Linked DNA regions of Nothobranchius furzeri. The protein of the gene in region 2 purifies or fractionates together with the protein of the main gene of each other region. This does not show direct contact. Links are inferred from orthologs where the notes say so. Each region holds a gene or a part of one and is shown on either strand. Other genes may lie near its edges. The genes, in order: rnf40, ubiquitin carboxyl-terminal hydrolase 15 and tut1.

What was found.
Region 1: the proteins of ubiquitin carboxyl-terminal hydrolase 15 (region 2) and rnf40 purify together in Homo sapiens (affinity purification with mass spectrometry; 4 studies listed by BioGRID and IntAct, with this or other methods). This does not show direct contact. The link is inferred for Nothobranchius furzeri from reciprocal best matches to the Homo sapiens genes USP15 and RNF40.
Region 3: the proteins of ubiquitin carboxyl-terminal hydrolase 15 (region 2) and tut1 purify together in Homo sapiens (affinity purification with mass spectrometry; 4 studies listed by BioGRID and IntAct, with this or other methods). This does not show direct contact. The link is inferred for Nothobranchius furzeri from reciprocal best matches to the Homo sapiens genes USP15 and TUT1.

What each region holds. Positions count from the first base shown.
Region 1 is NC_091756.1:31,910,465-31,919,138, forward strand, and holds the start of rnf40 (E3 ubiquitin-protein ligase BRE1B), read right to left. Parts: upstream 5,255-8,674; 5' UTR 5,166-5,254; intron 4,768-5,165; 5' UTR 4,757-4,767; coding exon 4,619-4,756; intron 4,506-4,618; coding exon 4,338-4,505; intron 2,540-4,337; coding exon 2,245-2,539; intron 1,994-2,244; coding exon 1,793-1,993; intron 1,601-1,792; coding exon 1,482-1,600; intron 1,334-1,481; coding exon 1,187-1,333; intron 1-1,186. Other genes in the region: phkg2 (phosphorylase b kinase gamma catalytic chain, liver/testis isoform), read left to right, coding at 5,917-6,011, 6,103-6,278, 6,368-6,422, 6,516-6,581.
Region 2 is NC_091741.1:53,838,822-53,847,395, reverse strand, and holds part of ubiquitin carboxyl-terminal hydrolase 15, read right to left. Parts: intron 5,862-8,574; coding exon 5,716-5,861; intron 4,288-5,715; coding exon 4,226-4,287; intron 3,876-4,225; coding exon 3,786-3,875; intron 276-3,785; exon of another isoform or gene 49-275; coding exon of another isoform or gene 1-48. UniProt on the Homo sapiens protein: Hydrolase that removes conjugated ubiquitin from target proteins and regulates various pathways such as the TGF-beta receptor signaling, NF-kappa-B and RNF41/NRDP1-PRKN pathways.
Region 3 is NC_091756.1:31,146,653-31,154,242, forward strand, and holds the end of tut1 (speckle targeted PIP5K1A-regulated poly(A) polymerase), read right to left. Parts: intron 6,609-7,590; coding exon 6,418-6,608; intron 6,318-6,417; coding exon 6,111-6,317; intron 5,912-6,110; coding exon 5,797-5,911; intron 5,703-5,796; coding exon 5,575-5,702; intron 5,475-5,574; coding exon 5,248-5,474; intron 5,164-5,247; coding exon 5,054-5,163; intron 3,579-5,053; coding exon 3,456-3,578; intron 2,561-3,455; coding exon 2,468-2,560; intron 2,389-2,467; coding exon 1,280-2,388; 3' UTR 1,091-1,279; downstream 1-1,090. UniProt on the Homo sapiens protein: Poly(A) polymerase that creates the 3'-poly(A) tail of specific pre-mRNAs. Localizes to nuclear speckles together with PIP5K1A and mediates polyadenylation of a select set of mRNAs, such as HMOX1.

The DNA.
Region 1 (8,674 bases), on a different chromosome or scaffold from region 2:
GTGTGTGTGTGTGTGTGTGTGTGTGTGTGTGTGTGTGTGTATGTGTGTGAATGGATGAATGACAGAATGACAGACAGTAGCATAAAGCGCTTTGGAGTTCTCTGACTCTGAAAGGCGCTACACAAGCGCGGGTCATTTATCGTTCTTTTTTTTTTCAAAAGCACATTTATGTTTTCCAAGCAGAATCTCTGAGAAGCAGCAATAAATATCTCCTGGAGTTGAGAACCTTTGCAGAATGTGTTTGTGTTATTTATATATGCTAATTCATGTAAAATAATCGTGGAAATTGTGAAACCATGATTATTCCCCAGACTAGAGTCATACCATCAACATTTGGTAGCAACCCTGGCTCGAAAGTGCATCTTCCCGCCTTCTGACCTTTTCATGTAAAAGTTATGTAAACTAAATGACTTTAGTGAGTCACAGTTTGACATTATTGGGATGTTTAATACATGCAGATGGTCTGATCTGCCTCGAAGCTCAGATCCACATCAAAAACAACTCAAATGATCACGATGTTTCAGGGCACTCCGACGACAATGATAAATCTGACGATATAACAAAATACAAAAAAATGTTGTCGATATTGATTCATTATTTCTTTGGCTGCCATACTAGGGGCCTTTGAAAAAGATTTTATTCTCCCCAAAGTTCACTTTTCCCATTTTTATTTTCTTAATTCCACATTTCTATTCTACCCACATTTACTAACCTAAAAAATGTAATATTATAATGTGAAAGAACAATTAAGCCAGAATTCAAACCGTCACTTCCTGTTTGTGTGGGGAGACGGGTTGAGCCCACCTGCCTGACCAGGTAACAGGTACGGGGGCCTGCAGACCCCAAAAATACCTCAGAACCACCACGAATCCCTTCTTACTCATACGAGCCAACACTCCGAGATTCCAGCCATGTTTGCCTTCACAACTTTCATGACTCCATTCTGCTTGACCCACATGAGGGTAATGATGTGCTGACATCATCTAATTAGCATATCATGATATATTCTTTGTTAACCGGGCAGGGAACAAAAATACTGATATTATGAAAGGTATGATATGGCCCACCCTTAACAAGAGTTCACGAGCCTATCCCGCACACACACACACATGCACACGCACACACACACACACACACACTAAATATAGAAGCTCGGGAGCATGTTTACAGCTGGTATGAAACACACCTGCTCCATGGCTTCTGCCAGATGTTTGTTGAGCTTCTGTTCTCTGTTACGAAGTTTCTCAATGTCCCACTGAAGGTCCTCCACTGCCGTCTCCATCTCAGACACTTTAGTTTCTGCACTGGTCACTTTGTCCACCAACTCATTGTACTGCAAGAAATCAAGGCATCATAACAACAACACTTAACCGCTGTGATTAAAGCATGCTCAATCTCATAAATATCAATGGATACACAGACTTCTGCATTCACACTTACAAATACTAACATGCACACTGACACAGGAATGAAAATTGTACCTCCATGGACATTTTGTGGTGTCGTCCCTGCAGGAGGTTGGCATGGTCTCGTAGTCGGATGTGTTCGTCCAACAGGGAGCGGTTCAGCCTGATGTCAGCCTGGCTGTCGTCCTCTGCCACTAATCATAAATAACAGTTACACAAATACACAAAAACTAACATCTGTCAAAACCACACTCATTTGTCCTGTAGTCGTAAGATAAACAACTAATTTAACAGCTTATCCAGGCATAGAATAACATTTATTCAATCAATGAATGAGTTGCAACATTTACCTCCTATGTATGTGTTATTAGAGGTTTGTTAGGTACCTGCAGCCTGGACCGCCCTGCACATGTCGTCGATGCGACTGTGCAGCCTGTCAAAGACTTGCACCAAGTGGGCGATGGCTTCTTTGCTGAACAGCATGCGGTCCTGGAGGTGCAATGAAAGCTCCTCCTCGCTGCTCTGCTCCAGCATGGTCAAAAAGCCCTTAGCATTCTCACTTAAGGGAGGGGGAGGCGGTGATGTGTCTGGACATAATATTAAGTTGTTATGAACAAAGCAAATCAAGCTAGAACTCCACATTACGACCTAAATCACTGCCCTGGTGCAGCTCATTACAAAAATGTCACTTTTTTTGATGAATGCAGATTCACAAGATATTAGGTGCGAACAAAGCCGTGAACACTATCATTTACATTTTATTCACAAAGAATGTCACAATGCAGGAGCAAATTTCAACAAAAAATCGTTTTAGAAAACAAAATAAAAAGCTGCTGACCAGTTTTTGAATCCTGTGGCGGTTCCACAGTAGTTAGTAACTCCTCTGATCTAGCAGGAGGATGTGGCACCTCCTGATGGTCTTCCAGTTGATTCTCTTGTTGCTGCGGTTCTGTGAGCTCAGTCTCACCCTGGGCCTCCGGCAGAGGAGGTGGAGGCACTGTAACCAACGGTGATGCCAGGCTGATGGTATCCGTGGGTGTAGCATCGGGGAGGGCTGAAGGTGGCGCAGGAGCAGATGCTGCTGTTGATTCTGGCTCAATATATTTGCGCAGAATATTTACATTTTCTTCCAGCTGTAAGTAAAAACAGAACAAACAAAGTTTGAATATTTTGAATGGTTACTGTTTTAGAAGCATAACACACATCAATTTCAATTAAATTAAATTCTAAAATACTTTATTAATGCCAGAGGGAAATTGATTGCTGTAGTAGCTCAGAATAATAATAATAATCAAGTCATCAAAGAGTTATTGTATATTACAATGGCTGTTGGCAGGAAGGATCTCCAGTAGCGGTCAGTGTTGCAGCGAAACTGAAGAAGCCTCTGACTGAAGACACTCTTCCGTTGTCGGACAGTCTTGTGAAGAGAATGCTCAGGGTTGTCCATAATTTTCTTGATTCTCTGGAGAATCCTTCTTTGCATTATCTCCTCCAGCGGTTCCACAGTCGTCCCCAGAACAGAACCAGCCTTTTTTATTAGGCTGTTGAGCCTTTTCAGGTCCCTGCTTCTGATGCTACTACCCCAACAGACGATGGATGAAGAGATTACACTCTCAACAACAGACTAGTAGAAGATCTGCAGCATCTTGCTACAGACATTGAAGGACCTAAGCGTCCTCAAGAAGTACAGTCTGCTGTGTCCCTTCTTGTAAACGGCTTCACTGTTCTTTCTTCAGTCCAGTCTGTTGTCCAGGTGAACTCCAAGGTATTTGTATTCCTCAACCACCTCCACATCTACTGCCAAGAGTTCAACATCTGGGCTGCAGAGACGACATTTCACCGAAACATGACCTGGATGGCACCATCCGTTGTTGACAAGCACTGCCACTCCACCTCCTTTTCTTTTCCCGCTCCTGCTCAGATCTCTGTCTGCCCGTACAGTCAGGAATCCTGGCAGAGAGACGCTGGAATCGGGGATATGGTCCTGCAGCCACGTCTCACTGAAACACATAACACTACACTGCCAAAACTCTGGCTGAGTCCTTCAAAGGGCTTGGAGTTCATCCATTTTGTTGGCCAGTGATCTCACATTGCCCATTATGATAAATGGAAGAGATGGTTTGAATTTCCTCTTTCTCTGTCTCCGTTTTGCTCCCGCTCTGCATCCATACTTCTTGCGTTATAGCTCATTTGGGATTTGTGGCTTCAGTTGAGGTATTATTTCAGCCTTTCCAATGTTAATCAGCTGCTACCGATTGTAAACCAGTGTGTTGCCATGGTTACGCATCATAACAAATGTTCAAAAAGTGAAAAAAGTGAAAAATAGCAGTAAAAATCCTCCAAGCTTCACAGCACCAGAAACAGAAAAGTAAAATGTCCAAAAAATACAGTTTTTCTTGAGAAACTAGAAGAAAAAATGTCCACGAAAAGGCAAAACTTACAAATAGTCAACAGAGCTACTCCAACATGCAGCCACCCAGAGCAGCGCAGTTCCAGAGTTCACAACACTTAACATTATATAATAATACATAACAGGTCTCAAACAAGTGTATAATGTAACACAGCTTAAACACAGTATATTAAACATGCATTACTATTATTTTCAACTCCAACATCAACTTTGGGAACCACAGCTTTAAAATACACAAATAATGTGATTCTTCTACAAAGTGCAACAGAGCAATCTAGTAGATTAATAAAGTGATTAATGTCTTTATACTTCATCATTTTCTAAACTCACAATGCACAATATCCTGCCATGATCAGGTATGAGGACTGGACAGATAAGGAGTGGAAAAAAACAGTAAAAGTCTAAAGAAAATTTTAGAAAAGCTGCACACAAAAGAAAACCTGGCTGATTGGATAGAAAGCATAAAGAAGTAAGGGATTATTTAAAGCTTTTTTCCCAGCCATATCCAACGATTAATGTACCTGAGTCCAGTAGCGATTGACGATGAGGAGGGTGGTGTCATCAGTGGCTTGTCTCTTCTCCAGCTTTTCGATTTTCTCTCGTAACTCATCTTCCATGGCCTGTCTCTGCTCCAGGCGCTCACATAGCTTCTTGTTCTTGAACTGGAGCACCTTCATGTCCATTTCTTCCTGTAGTTCATCAACAAAAACACCCAAAATATAAGACACTTTACGTGTTAAAGTACACCACAGTAATAAACACACTTCAAAATATTTTAACTAGTAAATCTGCAGGGACTCACCGTTGAAGAGACTCCAGCGATTCGTATTGGTTCGATCAGTGTGGTGGTGGTCTTCTCCTCCTTCTTGGTCTTCTTCTCAGGTGGACCAGGGGGACTATCCCCTCCAGAAGGACGTTTTCCTCCCCCAGCACCTGACATCTTTCCTTAGCCTTCATAAAAAGTTCAAACAACGTTAATTTTTGGAGGCAGCATGAAGAGATTACGGAATTAAACAAATTATAAATACAGTTAGAACCCGTGTGAACGTTACTTTCGCAGGGCAGGTACAACATTTACAGCTACGTATTAGTAGAAGTCAGGAGTGTATAATGCCTCCTTGTAATTATTAGCCATCTTTTAAAAGAAATACAGCACATTACATTTTCTTGTTAAAATTAACTATTTTGCTAATGCTAACTCTCGGTTAGCAGGACAGCGATCTTTGTCCAACACAGCAAATAACGGTGGAGTATTGTTTTATTTACTAACTATCATTAAATGAAGAATCATTTCTACGTAAAATCATTTACAGAAATGCAACAAATGACAAAAGTTGAACGTTACGCACCTTCGCAAGGAACGACCGAAAATATAATTCAGAACATAATGCAACAGGAAATGACGACAACGCTTCTTCTTCTACGCTTAATTTGCAGAGCTTCTTTTGCCACCTAGTGTTGAAATGTAACTTTGTGAGGTTTTGAACAAATTCACCGATTTAAAAAAAAAGAATAACATTTAAAAATTACATTAAAATTATTGCTACGCATGGTTTCAAAAATATCTCACGGTTGAGTGATTCATTGCGTCAATGTCTAAAAACTAAGAAATATCTTGATCCCGCAATCTCCTCTGCCACCACACAGGGGCAGTATTGCTACTTCAGATATGAACCGGTTTCAAACGACTTCAAAGGAATTTTACCAAACTGTAAATAACGCTCCGGTTTATGCTAGCAGATATCCGGCGTGACTTCACGATAAACAGCTCGAGTTATTTAATGGCTTCGCTACACTAACTCGGGATCCGTCTCCTTCCCCTTCTCGCTGTTAGGTGAGTAGCTTCCTGTTCGGCCAGTCAGTGAGCCCTCTGCTACACAAGGCCAGACCAAAGACGAGTTCACCTTACTGATATAAAGGATAAAAGCTAATTTCTTGTGTGTTTAAACTCTGAGGTGTTGTCAAAAAGTCACAGGTATAGTCTGTGTTTGGAATCAAACCAAACGAAATGGGAACCCCTTATCAGGAGTTAGCTCAAGTAGTTCATGGTAAACAAGCTGTACTTTGACATGTGACGGAGTTTGTTGCTATAGCTTCATCATGACCAAGGACATCGTTGTCGGAGATGAATTACCGGACTGGGTGGGAGCTAAGGAATTCTACCAGAAGTATGACCCCAAGGAGGTGATCGGCAGGTAAGTCCAGTCAGGCAGCATGACACTCCATCCTCCATGCCTGGTTGGTGATAAGAACATGATGTTCTTTTGAACTGGTGTGGTGCTGTAGGGGTGTGAGCAGTGTGGTACGCAGGTGCGTGCACAGACACACAGGTCAAGAGCTGGCAGTGAAGATTATTGAGATCACAGCGGAGAAGATGACAGCCCAGCAGCTGCAGGAGGTGAAGACCTCCACCCTGAAGGAGATCCAAGTCCTCAACATGGTGAAGGGACACCCCTCCATCAGTATGTTGCCATTCTGCGCTCCAGGAATATTTGTCTTTTTCTGTATACCAAGACCTAATGCTGGTTTGTGTTTGTCTGATTCCATGTAGTCACCCTCATTGATTCCTACGAGTCCACCACATTCATATTCCTAGTGTTTGACCTGTGAGTATGGAGAAAAGGAGCCAAAATACAATAATGTTTACTTAAGGAAAACACGAAACAATGAAGCACCAACGGGTCTGTTTTTGTCCCCAGCATGAGGCGAGGAGAGCTGTTTGACTACCTCACTGAAAAAGTTACCTTGAGTGAAAAGGAGACCAGGTGAGCTCTAAAATCGACACACTCTCCATCAGTTTCCAATAAACGTTAAAACGCGTTTTGAAATCTGAAGCACAAATCATTTAAATACACACACTCACTGGCAGCTCTATTTGGTGCCTTTCTAGTAAATAAGAAGTAAGCAATTTTTATTCATACAGCACTTATCACAGACATAGAATCACAAAGTGCTTCTAGTGCTGGGTTGACCCTCCTTTGTCCTTCTGAACCACCCTTACTGGTTACAACCATACCAATCTGGGCTGTAATCAGTGGTTATTTGAGCCACTGTTGCCTGGAACCAGTCTGCCTGTTCATCAATTCATCTACCACTCACTAGATACTTTCTTTTTCTGGGACCATTTTCTGTTATTGTGCACGAAAATCACAGTAGAGCATCAGAATCTGATGGCACAAACTACAAATCCTCTTCCTCTGTCCTGATCCTCTGTTTGAACTTCAACTTGCCGTCACCACATCTAGACGACTGCTTCAATGTGATTGGCTGATTAGATACTGAACATGTGGGCATAATAAAGTGGCCAAATCGGAATCGGCTGTGGAAAATCGGATTTAACCATATAAAACGACAAACGTGACTTTTCAAACGAATCCTAAGAAAGAGATTTTCAAACTGAATAACAATGGCTTTGTTTTAAATTCAAAAAGTTCATCTATATCAGTGTTTTTTTTTCAGAGACAACAGCGCTGTAAAGCCCTACAATTTGAAGTAGCTTGGGAATTCACACACCATAACATGTAGCACAGAGCATAGTTGTCGCCTCAAGAGAGAGAAAATGTCTGTGATTTGGCTGGATTTTTAAACGAACAGCAAGGGGAGTGTAATAGACACATGCAATGTGTGCAAACTGGGCATTTAACGAGGTGACAAAGGTAGTGCTGCACCACCTTAAAAAACTGATCCTGCTCTGTTCGCTGCAACAATTCGGATAAGCCAGCTGATACGAATAAAAGATGTGTAGAAAAAAGAAATGGTCTACGGACAGCAACAATGCCAACATGGCAGAATATTTTTTACACTGGATGAGCGTCTGTGGTTGTGAACGTCAGGTTCGAAAGGCTCCTTCAGTCGCGGTACGATCTGCGTTCTCTCACAGACGCAGCAGCTCTACAGGTGTTTTGTAGAAAAACGTTACTCTGCTGCTGACCGTCATGAGCCGTGCCATCCCTGTCCCTAAAAACAGCTGCACACAGAGTAATTGACTGAAAATATAAGCGACAAGGCTACTTTTACAAGTATTCTCAATATTAACACATTTCTTATTCATTTAAATGTTAAATGACAATTTATTTTTACATTTATAATCTGTTTTTTTTTCATGTTTTATGAAGCTTTATTGAACGCAATCAACATCCAAAGTATCGATCATCTCCTTTATCAACATAAATCCAACAACACAAAGATGCTGCTGTAAACAAGACAAAATCAAAAAGCATTCAGCAGGCTATAAAAGTAAAGATTTGCACTAGCAACAGAAATGATGCTGATGCTAAAAAAAACTAAATATATATATAAATTAAGTACCTCATATCATTTTATTCTTTATAGATTGTTTTATTTTATTTGTTGTTTTTATTTTGTTTTTATTTTTTAACAATTTTTTTTATTGATTTTCTTCATTTGGGTACCAACACATATAATGCAAATATCTCCACTCAAAACATAAAAAAAAGACAAGAGACAATTATGTGGCATAAATATACAAATAAACACAAACATGAAAACATTGTGCCCAATACCAATTTTCATTTCCCTTCTGTTAGCAAACCCGAATTCATGGTATATTTGAAGTAGAACAAAAATAAAGAAGGGAGTGAAATAAAGTAATAAAAAAGAAAAGAAAAAAGACAAATACCCCCTGCATACATTAACAATATCAAATTACTTTCCAAAAAAGCAAAAAATAACTTCCAGATCTCATCAAATTTATCTAACATATGTTTTATTTTTTTATAATCTGTTTTATTTATTAAAAAAAAGTATCGGCTTGGGACTCGGTACCGGCAGATTCTTAAAATGAAAGAACTGGGAATCGGATCGAAACATCCCTAATATAATACAAATGTGTCAGATG
Region 2 (8,574 bases):
CAGCTCCACCGCCTCAGACCTCAGGCACCACCAGCAACACAGGAGCATGACATCTCAGCCCCACCCCAGCTCACACCGGCCCACATGTCCGCACAGAGCCGAGCGACCAGCAGCCTCGACGCGGTTCCGCTCTGCTCCACTCCGAAAGAAGGACAAGCCACGTTTTCAGAGCGTGAGGAGGAAAAAGTGCAGCTTCAGTCTTTACGGTTCAGCCCTCATGTTCACTCGGACCCACTCCAGCACCAGTTTCAATTCAGTCCAGATGAAGGATTTGCTTTCCAAGCCCAAAAATAATCATAATTACACTCGTCTCCCGACCCCCTCTCTAGTTTTGTCCTCTGCATCTTTCTTCCCTCTGTCCTCTCCTTCCTCTCTTCCTGTTCCCTGCTGCTCTACGGGTCCCTGCAGATATTTATAGCAAGGGTGAGGATGCTCGCGACTGCTACAGAAGCTAGAGGTGCTCACAGGGAGAGGGGGAGGAGAATAGGAAGGTGTGTGTGTGTGTGGGGGGGGGGGGGGGGGGGGCACTGACAGAAGAGAAATGAGGTGGGGATGGAGGGAGCAGCTGATTCATTGCATTAAGCTGAGGCTGCAGTATTCACAGGTCTGTCTCTTCTCTCTACCCTTCCTCTGAAACACATCACAAAACATCTGTCACCTTTTCTTCTTCGTGTGTGTGTTCTCCCCTCAAAACACCAACTCTCTTATTTCTCCAGCTTGGCAGTAAAACTGCACCCAGCTCTAGATGAGAGATGCTGTAAATGAATAAATGAATATCCCCATCGGTGCACGTGAGCAGCAGAGGCAGGCGATGAGAAAGACAGATGGGATGGACTCTTGAAGGTCATGCAGACTGCAGAAGGTGTGTGTGGCTGTGAGGCAAAGGTGTTAACAGGACACCGCCCGCTGTCACAGACCTCCACATCAGAAAGATAACAAACATGGGAATGCCTCGTATGAAAAGCACGGCCACCATGCATAATTAAGAGGCAACGACAGCACTGACTGTGGGGTGAATCAGGGATAGAAGAGCTGCTGAGAGTGAAGATCCAATTTCTCCAAGTCACCCTCTTTTCTCTCAAGCCGCCATGCAGAAAAAAAAACCACCGCTACATCAATACACAATGCAGAGTCGTTACAACATGGCTATAAATCGTAATCTAAGTACAGAGGAGCAGAAAAGGGCTGAGCCAACTCCTACGCTTTCCCTTCGTGTCAATACTGATTTTTTTATTCAACGGCTTTTATTTCTGCGTTCCAGCCATATGTAGAGTGAAACAAACATGAAACAAACATGTGGCCCTAAACACAGTAAAATCACACAGGAGGGCAACAGCACTCCACCTGCTGATTAAACGTCACCTCTCAAGTCAACAAAGTCCAAAAAAATTAAAAAAGGATCAGAGAAAAATCAGAAGGGAGTAAAATCCTCGGACGTGTGCGTTCAGATGAGCCTAAGTCACGCCCATCTACATGGGGGTCAAAGAGCTGATAAAAGCCATTTTCTGACCCTGTTTGATATGTCCCATGGATTTAACATTTGATGTGAATTTTAAAGGCCATTTAGATGCCAAGACAGCACTTGTTTTTGAAAGGTGGCAAAAGTCATTTTAGGTTTTGTGTGAAAAATACGTAGGAGGCTACAACTGCTCGACTCACCAATTTAACGTCATTAAATGAGACAAGGAGGAGAAGAAACTTTGCTGTGAGTTTTGCGAGCTTTGCAACCTTCTTCCAGGAAGAATGAAGCAGCATTAAACGTGGGACGAAAAACAACACTATAAATCTTGTCATGTGGAAAGCAGCAGCTACGCTGGCGGAAACGAGGCGCGGAGACTCATGCGATGTGCACACATCTGACTTGTAGTCATTTTAATTACGAATTTTTGCAAGCTAATAAATCTCTAATTACATGACAAACATAGTCGAAACACACATTTATTTAGCATTTAAATTGAAGTAAAACATGTGTGTTTCTGGGAATAAAGCACAGTAGAGCAGAAAATAACCTTTATAACCCCATTCTGGGGACCCGTGAGCCGGGGGGTCAGGGGATTTAAACTCCCTTTAAGACAATATTCTGGTATACTTTTAAACCGTGTTTGTTTAAAATCTACCCAAGTCTGTGTCAAGCCTGACCGAGGCTTGTAGTTGCACTACTAACAAAACTAAAATATGTTAAACAGTATGATGTTACAGGAAGCTGTATCAAAGGGTTTTTCAGTTCCAAAAGCGTGGTAAGGTAAGTGAATCTGAGCCCACCTTTATGGTAATGATAACAACACTAAATTAGGTTACTGCTTCTTCCCCTACTGGACAAACACAGAATTACAACTGCTGTTAACAAGCCTGCTGTAGCCAACGCTAACATGAGCCATCTTTTAGTAAATAAGCCACAAAGTAAAACAATCCACATTGTTGGACAAAAAATATCATTACTTACAAGTCCAGTAGCAACTAAGCCAAGTCACCATCAATCCATGATGCAAACAAACAGCTAAATTCTTCTTTTTCTTCTTCTTGAGCTTTATACTTGACCTTTCTCAGTGACCTAGTGGTAGAGTGTCCACCCTGAGACTGGGAGATCAGGGGTTCGACTCCTGGTCGGGTCGTACCAAAGACTTTGAAAAAATGGACCCAATGCCTCCCTGCTTGACACTCAGCATTAAGGGGTTGGATTGGGTGGTTAAACCACCAAATGGTTCCCGAGCGCGGCTGTGTCTGCAGCTCACCGCTCCCCCAGGGGATGGGTCAAATGCGGAGAATAAATTTCGCACACACACCTGTGTGTGTGACAACTAATGGGACTTTAACTTTACTGACGGTCAGCGAGCTGAAAACGCTAACTGCTAGCCCTCATATTAGCAACCAGCAAGGTAAATGGCTACTGTCATGAAGCAGGTTGAGAGCTCCCACTAGTGTTTCTACTGAATCACAAAACAGTTTAGTGCAGTTACTGCTCAGCAGAGGGTAACGGCATGCTGTCCCATGGGGAGTAGCTCAAGATTCTGCCTCAAGAACCAGAGAAACCAGTTTGAGAGCAATAGCTCAAAGTGTTAAAACTCTCTAGTGTTGCTCTAAGGTAGCTCAGGCTTTGAGGAAAAACTCGCCTCCTTTCTAGATCCCAGAAACTGGGTTCAAAAAGTTTAAGTTAAAATGCTTAGGAAGCTTGTTGTTTAATGGCTGTTATTGTAGGTTTGTTGCTGCACAATGCAAAACTTTAACCACACACATGCATAAACATTCACACTCAGACAGCAATGAAAGTCTGCACTTGCAGTTTTATCCCAGAGCGTGGATTCAGACTACCCACTCATCACAAAAAAAAGCTGCATTTCCAATAGGCTGTAGTTTAAATTGTTCAAATGCAAACATAAAAGCAAGGCCTCATGGGTCAATTAATCCTAAAATGATTCATGCTGCTCTTCCTGACCTGCACTAACAGCCCATCAGGTTTCAGCTCAGGTGTGACCTTTAAACAAGAGCTCAGGAGAGCTGCCGGAGCATTTTAAGAAAATAATGATATAAGATTATTCCAAACTAAGCCTGTCCCCCAGTTCTGCTATCAGCTCAGTCAGCTAAAAAAAAGCACGTCAGGATCACAGCCAGAAAGTCACCTGAACAGGACAAAGTTTGATGGATTTAAACACCACTGGTGGTAAAATTGTAGAGCCATTGTAAAGTAGTCAGGGTTTTTGAACACATTCAAGCCAACTGTCCGGTTTTATCTTTGGCTCTTCAGATCCAACCCCACCCACCACCACCACACATCTGCCAAGTCTTACTTCCTGCTGTTGAAGCTGCTGTTATGATTGTTTGTGAGAGATGAAGGCGAGATCTTTGGCAAAGCAGAGAGATTGGAAGCACCAGATGACCTTCAAAAGATAAAAGGGTAGATCATGAGTTAGAGCAGAAAACAAGGAGCCGTCCCAAACAAATAAAAATAAAGGGTGTGTGAGACAGTCAATCAAATTAAACTTAGATGAATTCAAACCAAAACAGAGTGATGTGTTGCAACAAAAGTTCAAGCAAAAAGAGGCAAAGAGAGGGGACTCTGGTTGACGGTGCAGTGAAGGTCGAGTTCAATGCTTCTGAAACATGCAGTAACTCATTACTACATATTCTACATGTGGTTTTAATAGTGTGCCAAGTGCAATCGGTTCCTGTGGAGAAACTCCTCGAAGTCAACAACACGAAGAAGCAAATCCACGTGCCCTTCACTCACTTGGTTGCCATGGTGCCTCGGGGCCACGTGCCGTCTTCACTCTTCTGCTCTATTACAAGAACCTGTAGGAGACCAGAAAAAGAAAGAGGCTCCATCTGCTGCTGCTGCTTTAGAGTCCAAATGTTAAAGCACTTTAAATAATAAAATAACTAAAAAAAACTCACTAAAGTTCCCTGATGCATTAAGGGGAAATTGGTGACCTTTGTTCAAAGCTTTAGGGTGATTTTTGTAGAAGGGTTTATTTGAAGGTGCTGTGATGCGTTTCTGCGTTTAGATTATGGGCCTGACACACCGCATGGAGCAATCCACCAGTCACAACCATTCTTACTCAGATTGCTGAAGAAGATCATGAAGGGTCCTCATATGAGATATGAATGTTTTCTGAATTTCATTGGCTATTTTAGGCATCAATCAAAAATTAGCTGTGCCGCCACCACATCCCAAAGATGCTCTATCGGGTTGAGATCTGGTGACTGCGGGGGCCGTTGTAGTACAGTGAACTCATCGTCATGTTCAAGAAACCAATTTGAAATGATTGGAGTTTTATGGCACATTATCCTGCTGGAAGTAGCCATCAGAGGATGGGTGCATGGTGGTCATGAAGGGTCAGAAACAATGCTCAGGTAGCCCGTGGCATTTAAACCATGCCCAGTTGGCACTAAGGGGCCTAAAGTGTGCCAAGAAAACATCCCCCACACCATTACATCACCAGCCTGCACAGTGGTAACAAGGCATGATGGATCCATGTTCTCATTCTGTTTACGCTAAATTCAAAAAGAACCGGATTTGATGTGGAAGTTTGAAATGTCCCATCTGTGTGACTAATTCAGAGGCGAAGAAAAAATGTTGCTCATAAAATATTTTTTTTAATTGCTGATATTTCCATTGATTAAAATAGCCGAACTTTAGTCATTTATTAACAGATTATGGCTTTTTCATAAACACTTGAAAAGATCCGAGCTATCCCTCTGAGTCAGCTTTACATTACAAGGACAGGCTCCTGTTGATTCTGATGCCTTTTAAACTCAAAGTAGAGAGATGAAGAACCTCCTGCAGTAACACTCACCTGTGTACTCCAGGAAAAGCTGAAACTGGGGCTGGGCAATAAATCGAAAATGTATCGTTATCGAAATTACTGACTCTTATCGAGACAATTATTCCCATGTCAATAAATTTGATTTAAAAAATGAAAAGATGTGTGTAGGTTGGCAACTTTCATGTCCCTTTAAGAAGCTGTAGCACCTTGAGTCACAAAATGTGACTTAACGTAATACATGTGACAGCCCCATCTAGTGGACAACTTTAGTTTCTGCGCATACCTGTAGTTATGTTTCATTATCGAGGTGAAATCCTCAATATATCGTGATATTGATTTTAGGCCATATCGTCCAGCCCTTGCTGAAACCCATTCAAACTGGGGTGTTTCAACTCAGCAGAAGAACTACCAAGCCAGGCCGTTCTGAAGCCATCCAAACCAGAGAGGTTCCTACCTGTCCCTGGTAGAGGCCGGCATCCTGGATGGTGCTGTCCGGTTTGTTTAGAGGCTCAAAGGTGTTGCTCATGTATCTGTTCCACAGCCTCGTCTCCTTCTCATCTGGGATACCGAACAGCTTCCTCATCTCCTTCTCTATCGTGTCTGCAGCAACATTACAAACACAAAGTGTCATTTATGATGAACTGTCCTGTACCGACAGATCAGCATCATGGTGATTCTCTTTCAGAACAAATTCAGTTATTTTAAATTATAACTAATTCACTTTGACAGGACTGCCGTCCTGGTGCATCCTGGGCCTTGTAGTTTTACCACAAACCCTCAAACTACTCAGTTACAACACACAGATCAAGTGAATGTCACCAGAAGCAATTAACAATTAGACACACAGAACAGAACTAAAGACACCCATTTCAGTTTACCAGAAAGGTGAAAAGCAGATTTAGTTCACACGTTCCAGAATATCATCCACAAACATTCTGCTAAAGCAAAACTCCAAGCAGCAAGATTAAAACTTTAGGACTGGTGAAGCACAGTCAGGCCTTAATTATGAGAATCAGCGGAAGGAGTGAAACCCTGCTGTTAAAGAAAGAAAACGATCTTTTATATAGCGCCTCTCAAGATGAAAATCACGAGGCGCTTCACAAAAACAAATAATGTGAAACACAGTATAAAAAGATTTCAAATAATTTAAAATGTGTTTAAAACAAGAAAAAAATTGTGATAAAAATGTAAGGAAAGGGAGAGAGAAAATTAATAGGAAAGAGGGAAGTCGGTGGATCCAGGGGAAAGGCAGAATAAGAAGAAGGTGGTGATGAAGGTCACACCTAAGCCAGCTTGAACAGATGACTTTCTGCTGCTTTTTAAAGGAGACCACTGAGTCCACTGATCTCGGCTCAGATTAATCAATGTGGTTAAAACACACACACACACAGGTGGGAAGTAACAAAGTACAAATACTTCGTTACTGAACATAAGTAGTTTTTTTAGGTATCTGTACTTTACTTGATTTTTTTTTCTGACAACTTTACTTTTACTCCCTACATTTGAGCCCAAATATCTGTACTTTCTACACCTTACATTTTCAAAATGGTCTCGTTACCTCGACATTTACCTCACGTACTGCACGTATTACACGCATGTCGATGATGTCATTACGCAACTGTCGGAACACAACAGAGGGAAAATCAACGGTGCGGCGAGAAAGAGCCCGGTGTGAGCGCGGTTTGAGACCCAGAACAACACTAACTAACAACATGGATGATGGACAAAGTTGATAAAGTAACACTGGAAATGAAGAAACATCTAAAGGCTGCAATGAATGTGGTTGAGTACATTGCTACCACCACAGACCGCAGGACTGCACACAGATGAAGTTTCATTGGTGTCTCAGCACACGGGATAGAGCCTGAAACCATGGAAAGATGCTCTGCTGCTCTAGTATGAAAAACAGCTCAAAGGGCCGCACACATGTTCTGCACTTGCTGGTGCACTAAATGACATACGTACAGAACATCCATGATAAGATTGTTCGCACAACTTCTGATAATGGCTCTAATTTTATTAATCGTTCAAAACTCAGATCATAATTGGGATTAAAATTTGATTAATTGAGCAGCCCTATTACAGGATGCTTTAACTCATGAATTATGGTGGGATATATTACGAAATACAACAAAAGTAAAAAATGATCAGGTCACTCTGACTTCATGAGATTACCGTAGTTCACATTTAGATTATGAAATTCTGAATGTGCCGTATTGACCCGAATATAGGTGATAAATTATAATCTTTGATTTTGTCATTCATAGGTCTTGGCTTCATCAGAAGTCATCTGAAGGAGCAACCCGTGGTGCAGCCAGGTGGCACGACCTTTTCTTCTTCAGAGGAGGAGGACTTCTTTTTCACCATCAGGCAGGGCAACAATCAGGAAAATGCCAAGCAGCTGGAGTCCTACCTGGCCTGTCCATCAGATTCTATGGATATCTTGAAATCTTTTCCAGCAGTATGCAATTTATCACTGAAGCTGAACACACCTCTGCCTGCCTCGGCTGCTTGTGAGAGGCTTTTCAGCACTGCAGGACTCATTTTCAGACCCAAAAGGGCACGTGTTGATGCAAAGAACTTTGAAAACCAGCTTCTGATGAAGCTCAATAAAATGTTTATTTAGTCTCAAACAGTCAATTGCTGTCAGAAGGAAATAATACTTGAAGATTTGAAGTGACCTTGATTCCATGATCACAATGTTTTAAGTCGAGTTGCAGAAAAAACTATTTCAGTTAAATGCTCCCATATGTGGAGACAGCAATAACATTAATAGCATCATATCTCCAGGAATTATTGTTGTGTTGTTGAAATAAACTTCTCAGTCCAAACCAGATGCTTTTTTTTAAATTTAAGGTTTAATTTTTTTACTTTTTACTTTTCGTACTCAAGTACTTTTTAGAGCCTGTATTTTTTACTTTTACTTAAGTAAATAAATTAGCTCAGTACTTTCACTTTTACCAGAGTAGTTTTTTTACACAGGTATCTGTACTTCTACTTAAGTAAAGAACATCGGTACTTTTGCCATCTCTGTGTGCACGTACACACACACACACACACACACACACACACGCGCGATTTTCATGGCAAACTCCCTCTACAATGCTAACGCCAACAGTAGGAAAGTGGACCATGGTATCCTAGAATGCTATTATATTCATGAGCCATCTCATCTTATTAACTCCAGTAAAAGTTTTAATCCAGTCTATAAAATAACTAAATTTTATCCTTGAACAATTCCAGTTTTACAACATTTATGTCTAGTTAGCTGTCTGTACGAGCAGCAAGTCTGTTGTATGATTCAGAGATCAGA
Region 3 (7,590 bases), on a different chromosome or scaffold from region 2:
GGCGAGATGTCCAAATATCAGGACATAAGACTCTAAATCCTGCTGTCTGAAGCTACTTTCTACTCTGGCTGAATTCTCCGTGCTAAAACAAGCACACCGGCATCCTTTTTCCCCAGAGTACAACTCACAAGGCATTAGAGACCACTGCCGATCTTTTAAAAATATGAGTGTAGGACCTCGTTAAATGCTCTGAAAACTAGAGTGGATAAATGGGCTCCTCCTTGCATCTTAGTGTCTACAGATGTAGATTAACTTTACGTTAACGTCATTGTTTTTCTGACTGATAGATATCTGGTAGATTTTGTCTAGTCCAACTCTTTGACACCCAAAGGAATTGTTTCACCGTGCTCTAGAGAAACATGACCTAGTCTGACTCAGAGGTGCAGACTCTGGTTCGCTGAACACGAACGCCAACAGAATCACATCATTTGCATAAAAGCAGAGAAAATCCGAGTTCCCAAAGCGGACACCCTCCTACCCAGAACTACAGCTTCATATCCTGTCCTTGGGTACCACGAACAGGGCTCACACAAAAGAAAAAGGGTTTCAAGTATCTAAAACATCATCTCAGTGTTAAATTTGGCAAAAGTAAATTTTTACATTTTTTTCAATAATTCCCAGAACATGTTTTTGCATTAAGTTCTTGGATCTTACACTGATTTTCTATGTAATTACACAACAAACGCCAGATTAATAAAGTGAGTCAGTGTCAGATCTGCACGCGGGACGCCTCATAGATGGCTCCATCATCCGTCTTCTCCGTACCTGCTGGCCGCTTCCCTTTAAGGAGTGAGATGAATGGTGTTAATCAGCAGACGGGAGCTCTTTGCATCACTCAGCTCCAGCTTGTCCTGCTGTAATAAAGCAGCCTGCCCAGCTGAGTAATTACGCTCATCAGTCTTAGCTGCAGCCGCTAACATCTGACTGAATTAAAGCTTTCAGGCGCGCCCAGAAGCATGCCACATTAAACTGACAACCTAATGTTTTGCTTAGTTGTTGGACTTAAATGATGTGATTTAAGTTATTGGTTGAGAGTAAAATGTGGGTGTGGTCCTGACTCAGCAGAACAGAAAAAGGACGCTTTTATCAATTTCAAGCATAAAAGTTGGATTTTATTTATTTTTTAATAAAGAAACTAAAACAGACGCTAAATCTGGAGCCTTATTCAGGCATGAAACTAATCACTACTGAACAAGTACAAAAAATATGTGAAAACAGAAGTAAATCTCTTCTCCCTCCTCTGTCAGGGATTCATGTTTTCCAACATTCATCAGGTCCTTTAGGACCCGCCTCCTCCTTTCTCCAACACTGTCTCCACCATCTTTGGTAGGAAAACTTCCAGGAAATGAAAGAAGTCCTGGAAAACTCCCGCCCCGTCGCTGCTTGGCTCCATCTTGAGCAGTGCCTTTGTGTTCTCGGTTCCACCAACCATCTGGGGCTGAACTTTGAACTCCAGGGGCTGCTTGAGCCCCGGCTCTTTTTCCACGATGTAAGCTGAGACCTGGGACTCCAGGTCCACGCAGCTCCCCTCTGGTTTACACTCTGCGTCCTTCATGAGCTCTCGTCTCACTCTCCTCCTGCCAGCCCACACCATATGCTTCTGCGCGCACGTCCATGGAGGGACTTCGTGATGCCCCCTTTTGGCCAGTCTTGGCTTTTTGCCCTGAGGTGACACTGAGCAATCGCTGCCAGAGGACAAAGGCCTCTTTGCACCAACGGTCACCTCGCCCTGAGAATCAGCACTCTCTGTGCTGTCGTTTAACGAGTTAAAGGAAGCCGACGCGGTTTCTGTTCCTTCAGCCGCAGCTGGATCTTCTCTAAACACAGCATCTGCAGGAGCATGGAGGAGGCACTTGAGGACAGTTTTTAGTACGACCTCCACAGCACAACAAACCTTCTGGAACCACAGCAGCCTGAAACCATCTCCTGCCACCTGCAGCTCATCCTGAAGCTTCTCAGGCAGCGAAGTGGCCTTGAAGGGGATGCTGATGGCCAGCTGCTCTGGTTTTGTCTGCTGCACCTCCATGTGTGGGGTCAACAAGCGCACAAGTCCCCAGGACTTCCCTTTAGTGGACTTGTGCTGGTACTGTAGGCTGCGGCAGTACTTGTCAGCCTCCTGGCACTCCTTCAGGAAGCTGCGGTGAGAGCGTTCGTTCAGGTTTCCCGCCACGTTGTGGGAAAGCTCGAAGGGATCCAGGAGATTCAGGGGGCCCAGTTTGGGACCAGGCAGATGGGACTTGGTGGGTTGTTCTTCTTGCATCGTCTCATCCTGTTTATTCTGGCTGAGGAATTTTGTGATCGGAAGAGCACGTCCCTCCCTCAAAGAGATGACGCTACCGGCAAAATCAAACTGGGCGTAGAAGGAGAAGAAGCCAGCGAGCAGCGAACCTGAAGAGAGAAAACATGGAGGTTTAGTGATGCTTGGAAATGTCAGCAGGAAGCATGTTTCTGTTTTTAAATGACTTACAGAGGTCTTGTGTGTTTTTACAGGGCGGCACAGCGATCGGCTGACTTGGGAAGGTGCAGTTCCAGCCTTCAATCACACACTCCTCCTCCTCACCTGCAGAGGATCATAAAAAAACACACAGTTAAAGTTACTTTCCCGGCTCTAAGGACAACAGAAAGCCATTGAAGAGAAACTGGTTTGTTAAAACATGAAAACTAAGCAGTAAAACCTCTAAATCAGTCCTAAACTGACAGAAGGCCAGTGGAGAGAAGCTACGGCTGGTGGCATGTGCTCCTGTCGTTGACCGACGGGTAAAGGATGAGCTGCAGCATCCTGGATCGTGTGTGAACGATGTAGACATACAGAGCATCATAAAAACATCAAGAGATATGGCCTCGCCCCAGTGATAACTCTCATCACACTCATCACTAGCACAGATTAGAGACTGGGCATGCCAAAGAACACAGAATAAACAAGAATAATCCAGTTTTTAACAAACAAGTCCAGATAGTTACCTGTGCTGCTGTGTTTAACTCGGGTTAAACCGTCTGGGTGTCGAGACAAAATTCAGTCTAAAATCTATTCAGGACATAAATGTATGATTACTACTCCATCGCTACATAGGGAGAATAAAACAGCTGGAGGCGAACGGTAGCTGCAGGTGGTCACATCGACCTGATTAATCACGTCACAGAAGAGAAAACTCCATGTGGAAAATTAAACAGACATAACCAAAATAAATTATACAACATTTTAGTTTTCTGTACATTTTTTCATCTTAATCTGAGGAAAAATCTTAGTTCTAAAGATGATTTAGTCGCGCGCCCCCCCCCCCCCCCCCCCAAATAAAAACATTTTTTTTCCCTTGATAGCTCAAATAAGACTAACTCAAACCCTAAAGTATAATTTCAGCATGAATAATTTTAAACACACCCGTGCAGTTTCCACCTCACGTGTCTGCACGTGCAAACAACACCTGCTGATGTAGGAGCGGACAGGTGGGACTTACAGGACATATCTCTGAGCTGGTCCACGGTGGGGAGGACAGGAGGATCACAGTTCTGCAGGTAGAAAAAGACCAGCAGTGTCAGGGCGTAGTTGTTGAGGAGAGGACCCGAGCCACTGGGATTACCTGCAGGATGATAAACCAGGAAATGTCTGTGCTATGTCATGTTATAATGAGGCTGCTGTGTGTGACCGGACAGAGAGCCAGTCCATCGCAGGGCAACACAGACACACAGGACAAACAATCATGCACACACACACACTCACACCTAAGGACAATTTAGACAGACCAATTAACCTAACAGTCATGTTTTTGGACTGTGGGAGGAAGCCGGAGTACCCAGAGAGAACCCACGCATGCACAGGGAGAACCTGCAAACTCCATGCAGAAAGATCCCAGGCTGGGAAGTGAACCCAGGACCTTCTCGCTGCAAGGCAACAGCTCTAACCACTGCGCCACTGCGCAGCCTCAAAATACTAACGTTCAGTACTAAATTAGTTCACGAAGAAACCAGGTGGCACTGTCATTAAAGCAGGAGAGCTGCTACAGAAGCCTGGAGGTCCAAAAACACACAAGAATGTGTTTTTTCTCAGGAACGGCGATGCTTGCACACAGACCCGTATGGAAGCATATCGCTGGGCAATGCACAACAGAGGGAATGCGTTTTCATCCTGGCTGCAGCTGGATGATGGACAGATGCTGGTGCTCTGGTGTGTGTGTGTGGGGGGGTGGGGGGGTGGGAGGGGATGTGTGAACCTGGTGTGAACGAGTCACAAGAAAGATTGAATAATTTGCAAAATAAAACAACAAAGTCACTAGGTTGGCAACACGAAGGAGTCATAATTAAAAATATATCAATGCCAGTTGTGTTTCCTCGTGCTGACTGTTAAAGCTCCACCCCAGCAGGGGTCTAGCTGTCAGACGGGGTGGAGGTGTGTCCTTCACAAGCATGAAGCCAAAGCCAAATATGAGATCCAAATCAGATTATAATAAAACTTAGCTGAAAGTTTTTTTTGTGATTGTCTGGAGCTGAAATCGAAATAGCAAAAACATTTTGATTAACCCAGAGCTCTCATTTAAAATGTGTAACTTTATGAGGAGATTCTGTAAAAGGTGCTGCTGTGTTATACCGATGGAGACTGGCTTTACCTTCTACATAACCAACCGTGATTCCTGAGTTCAACTAGTCTCCCAGAAACTCAAATTCTTTCATATATTGTGTTAAATGTGTTTTGAAGTTAAAAAGTTTGTTTCTAAGACGCAATAATTTGCTTTGATTATTTGTATTTGTGGAAATTGGCCTCAATGATCAAAGCAATCGCTCCAAGTCCACAATTTCATCTTAAAATGACACTTTGAGATGTCATCACACACTCTTTAATGAAAGGTGTGTTTGCAGCACCGAGGGGGGAGTTCAAAGGAAGACACGGACCTGGAATAAAAGGTAATTGCTTTTCACAGCAGAATCCCTTTAATAAGATTTCATTTAATATCAATGCCTGCACACAAAAGGATTCAACAACAACGATCAAATGAGGATCAGACTCAGTGTAGCTCTGCTGACATCTGCTGGTGAAAGCATGAACAGGACTGCATCCTACCAGCTAACTGCTTCTGCTTGGCCCAGTAGCGGATGGTGTAGACCAGGGGCCTCAGCCTCTCCTCCACCCCTGAACACAGCTGGAGGAAACGCGTGTTCCTCACGCCAAGTCTAACAAACAAAACAGGAAAACAATAACTCCTGCATGTTTTCATTTAATTCACATCTCAGAGATGTAAAACCGTCCTCAGAGACCTGTTGTTGAGCGTGATGTCTCCCTGCAGGTTGAGCTCATGGTGATGGAACTTGACCACAGGGAGGCGAGCGGTGCTGACTACGTGGACCTTGTGCACGCTGGGGACGCAGCGCTTGAGGATGGTGGCAACCAAGTCTAAAACTTCAGCTGGAGAGGCTGTGGACAGATCGATGTCAGACAGGATGGAGTCCTCAGAGTGGGCATCGTCTGACACTCCTTCACCCGCCTGACGACCGGGCGCAGGGAGGGAATTTGTTAGAAAAATGTGACGTTTTAGCTCCGAATGTGTGAACTACAAAGATTTGCACCTAGATAAACAGTCAGACCTGCTCTGTGCTGGACTTGGCCCGAGCTTGGAACACCTTCGTGTTTTCTAGGTCCAGGAACAGGTCCAAGTCACACGAGTGGACGCCAAAAGTGTTCACAGATGAACCAAAGGGCAGAATCTGGCTGTCTGTGACCCACGTAATGTTAAAAACAGAAAAACGCTGATTTTTTTTATCATTAAGCCACAGAATCTGAATGTTTACAAGTTTTAAAGCCCTCACCTGGAAAGAATTCAACAAAAACCTCTTGAAGGAGCTGAACCAGCAAGTCTCGAGTCTTCTTTTCATTTTCTCCCAGCTGAAATCGCTCAACTATGAACTTCATCTGGGCATCCACCTGAAGGAGCGAGAAAAACTGTTTTAGTTCAATCATCTCAAAAAGAAAAATAGAAACACTTGATTTACTGAGCTGTACGACACATGAACCATGAGGATTATCATGCTGTATTTTCTTTAAATAATCTGTAATAAATATGTTGCCCAGCTGCACGGTTCATTTCTGATTATGTCAAATCAGTTCTAGTACGGATGCTCACAGATCCCAGCTGACACAAGTCGGGTCTGAGACGATCTAGGACCTGCTGGAGGTTCTGGGGGTTGTTCTTCTTCTTGGGAATTAACTTAAATTCCTTCTTTTCTCGAGGCTTGACCCGCAGCTTCAGCCCCTTCATGCGGTGCTCTACACAGGACAAAGCTGCCTGGATGCTCTCCGTTTCACTGAACTGCACGATGGCAAAAACACCCTGTGAGCACAAACACACACACCATCAGTCACTCTGCCCATGATTATAACACCCGGCCTCTTTCATGAGAAGGCTTCATCTAATAGGAAGTCCGTCCCACCTTGCCTTTGTCCATGATAACATCTGTGACGGCCCCAAACTGCTGGAAGTATTCGGAGATGTCCGTCTGAGAGATTTCAGGCTTGATGCCACTGACAAACACACTGTGCTCCTCCTGGTTCTTCCTGGTGTCTCGTACAGTCGTCAGGGTCTGATGCTTTCGCCCCTTCACATGCTGATCGACACTCGGCACTGGTCGGCAACAACATCAAAGTATTTAGTAAATCAGAGGGATTTCTACCACTTTACATCCTGATTCACTGTGTTTAATCAAGTTTTTGTTTATTCTAAAGAACTATTTCTTGCAGATTAAATTTTAAACACACAAGTTGAGATCTCCGTAAGTAAAAATGTAAAGAACAGTCTGAACGTTTTACCAGCCACCGTTACAGATGTTCAGATTTATCTTACACTAAACAAATGGATCTGTTTCTGGATTTAAAGAGCAAGTCACCCAAAAATAAACCTTTTTTAAATGAGAAACTAAATAAATGTGTGTCTAATCGTGCTGCAGACACATGTAGTCAATAGTTTTGCACTTGTTAAATTTTTAATTTTCTGCCTTAAATTGTCAGTGTTGTGCCGTTGTCAGGTAAAAACTCTGCTCTACACTTGAATTTAAATCTGCCATCGCTCTTGGCTAAGAGGTTTCCTAGAATGTTAGCTGGTACCATATGATGTCACAATGTTGTTGTGAGCCTATGTGTGTGTGTATTTGTTAGCGGCTGCACCCTCTCGGTCTGCTAGGCAACAGCATTTGTTGCATTTTTCAAACAGGAAGTGGGAGTGGAGTAATACTCTGGTAGGGGGTGACTTGATCTTTAAATGGATTTTTCTGGAGACTGATGCCATTCTGTCATCCTTCAGAAATGTTAAGTTCGTAGTTTCTTTAGTCGTGTACTGCTGGGACTTAACAAACCACGAGACCAATCCCTAACCAATTCAGCAGGCCTTAGCAGTGTCTCATTTTACAGCTCAAGATGGTGACATTTAGAAAATGAATAAGAAGAAGCCTCACTTAGTTTTTGTTCAGCTCCGCAGATTTGTTTTCAATATTTGGGTCTATTTTCTCTTTTGGAACATAATGAGCATCATTCTCTTGTCCTTTTCATACCAAGGAAAGATGCCACTTTTAGCACAAGTGTTGCAGATTTGTGTCGTTTACTTCACTTTA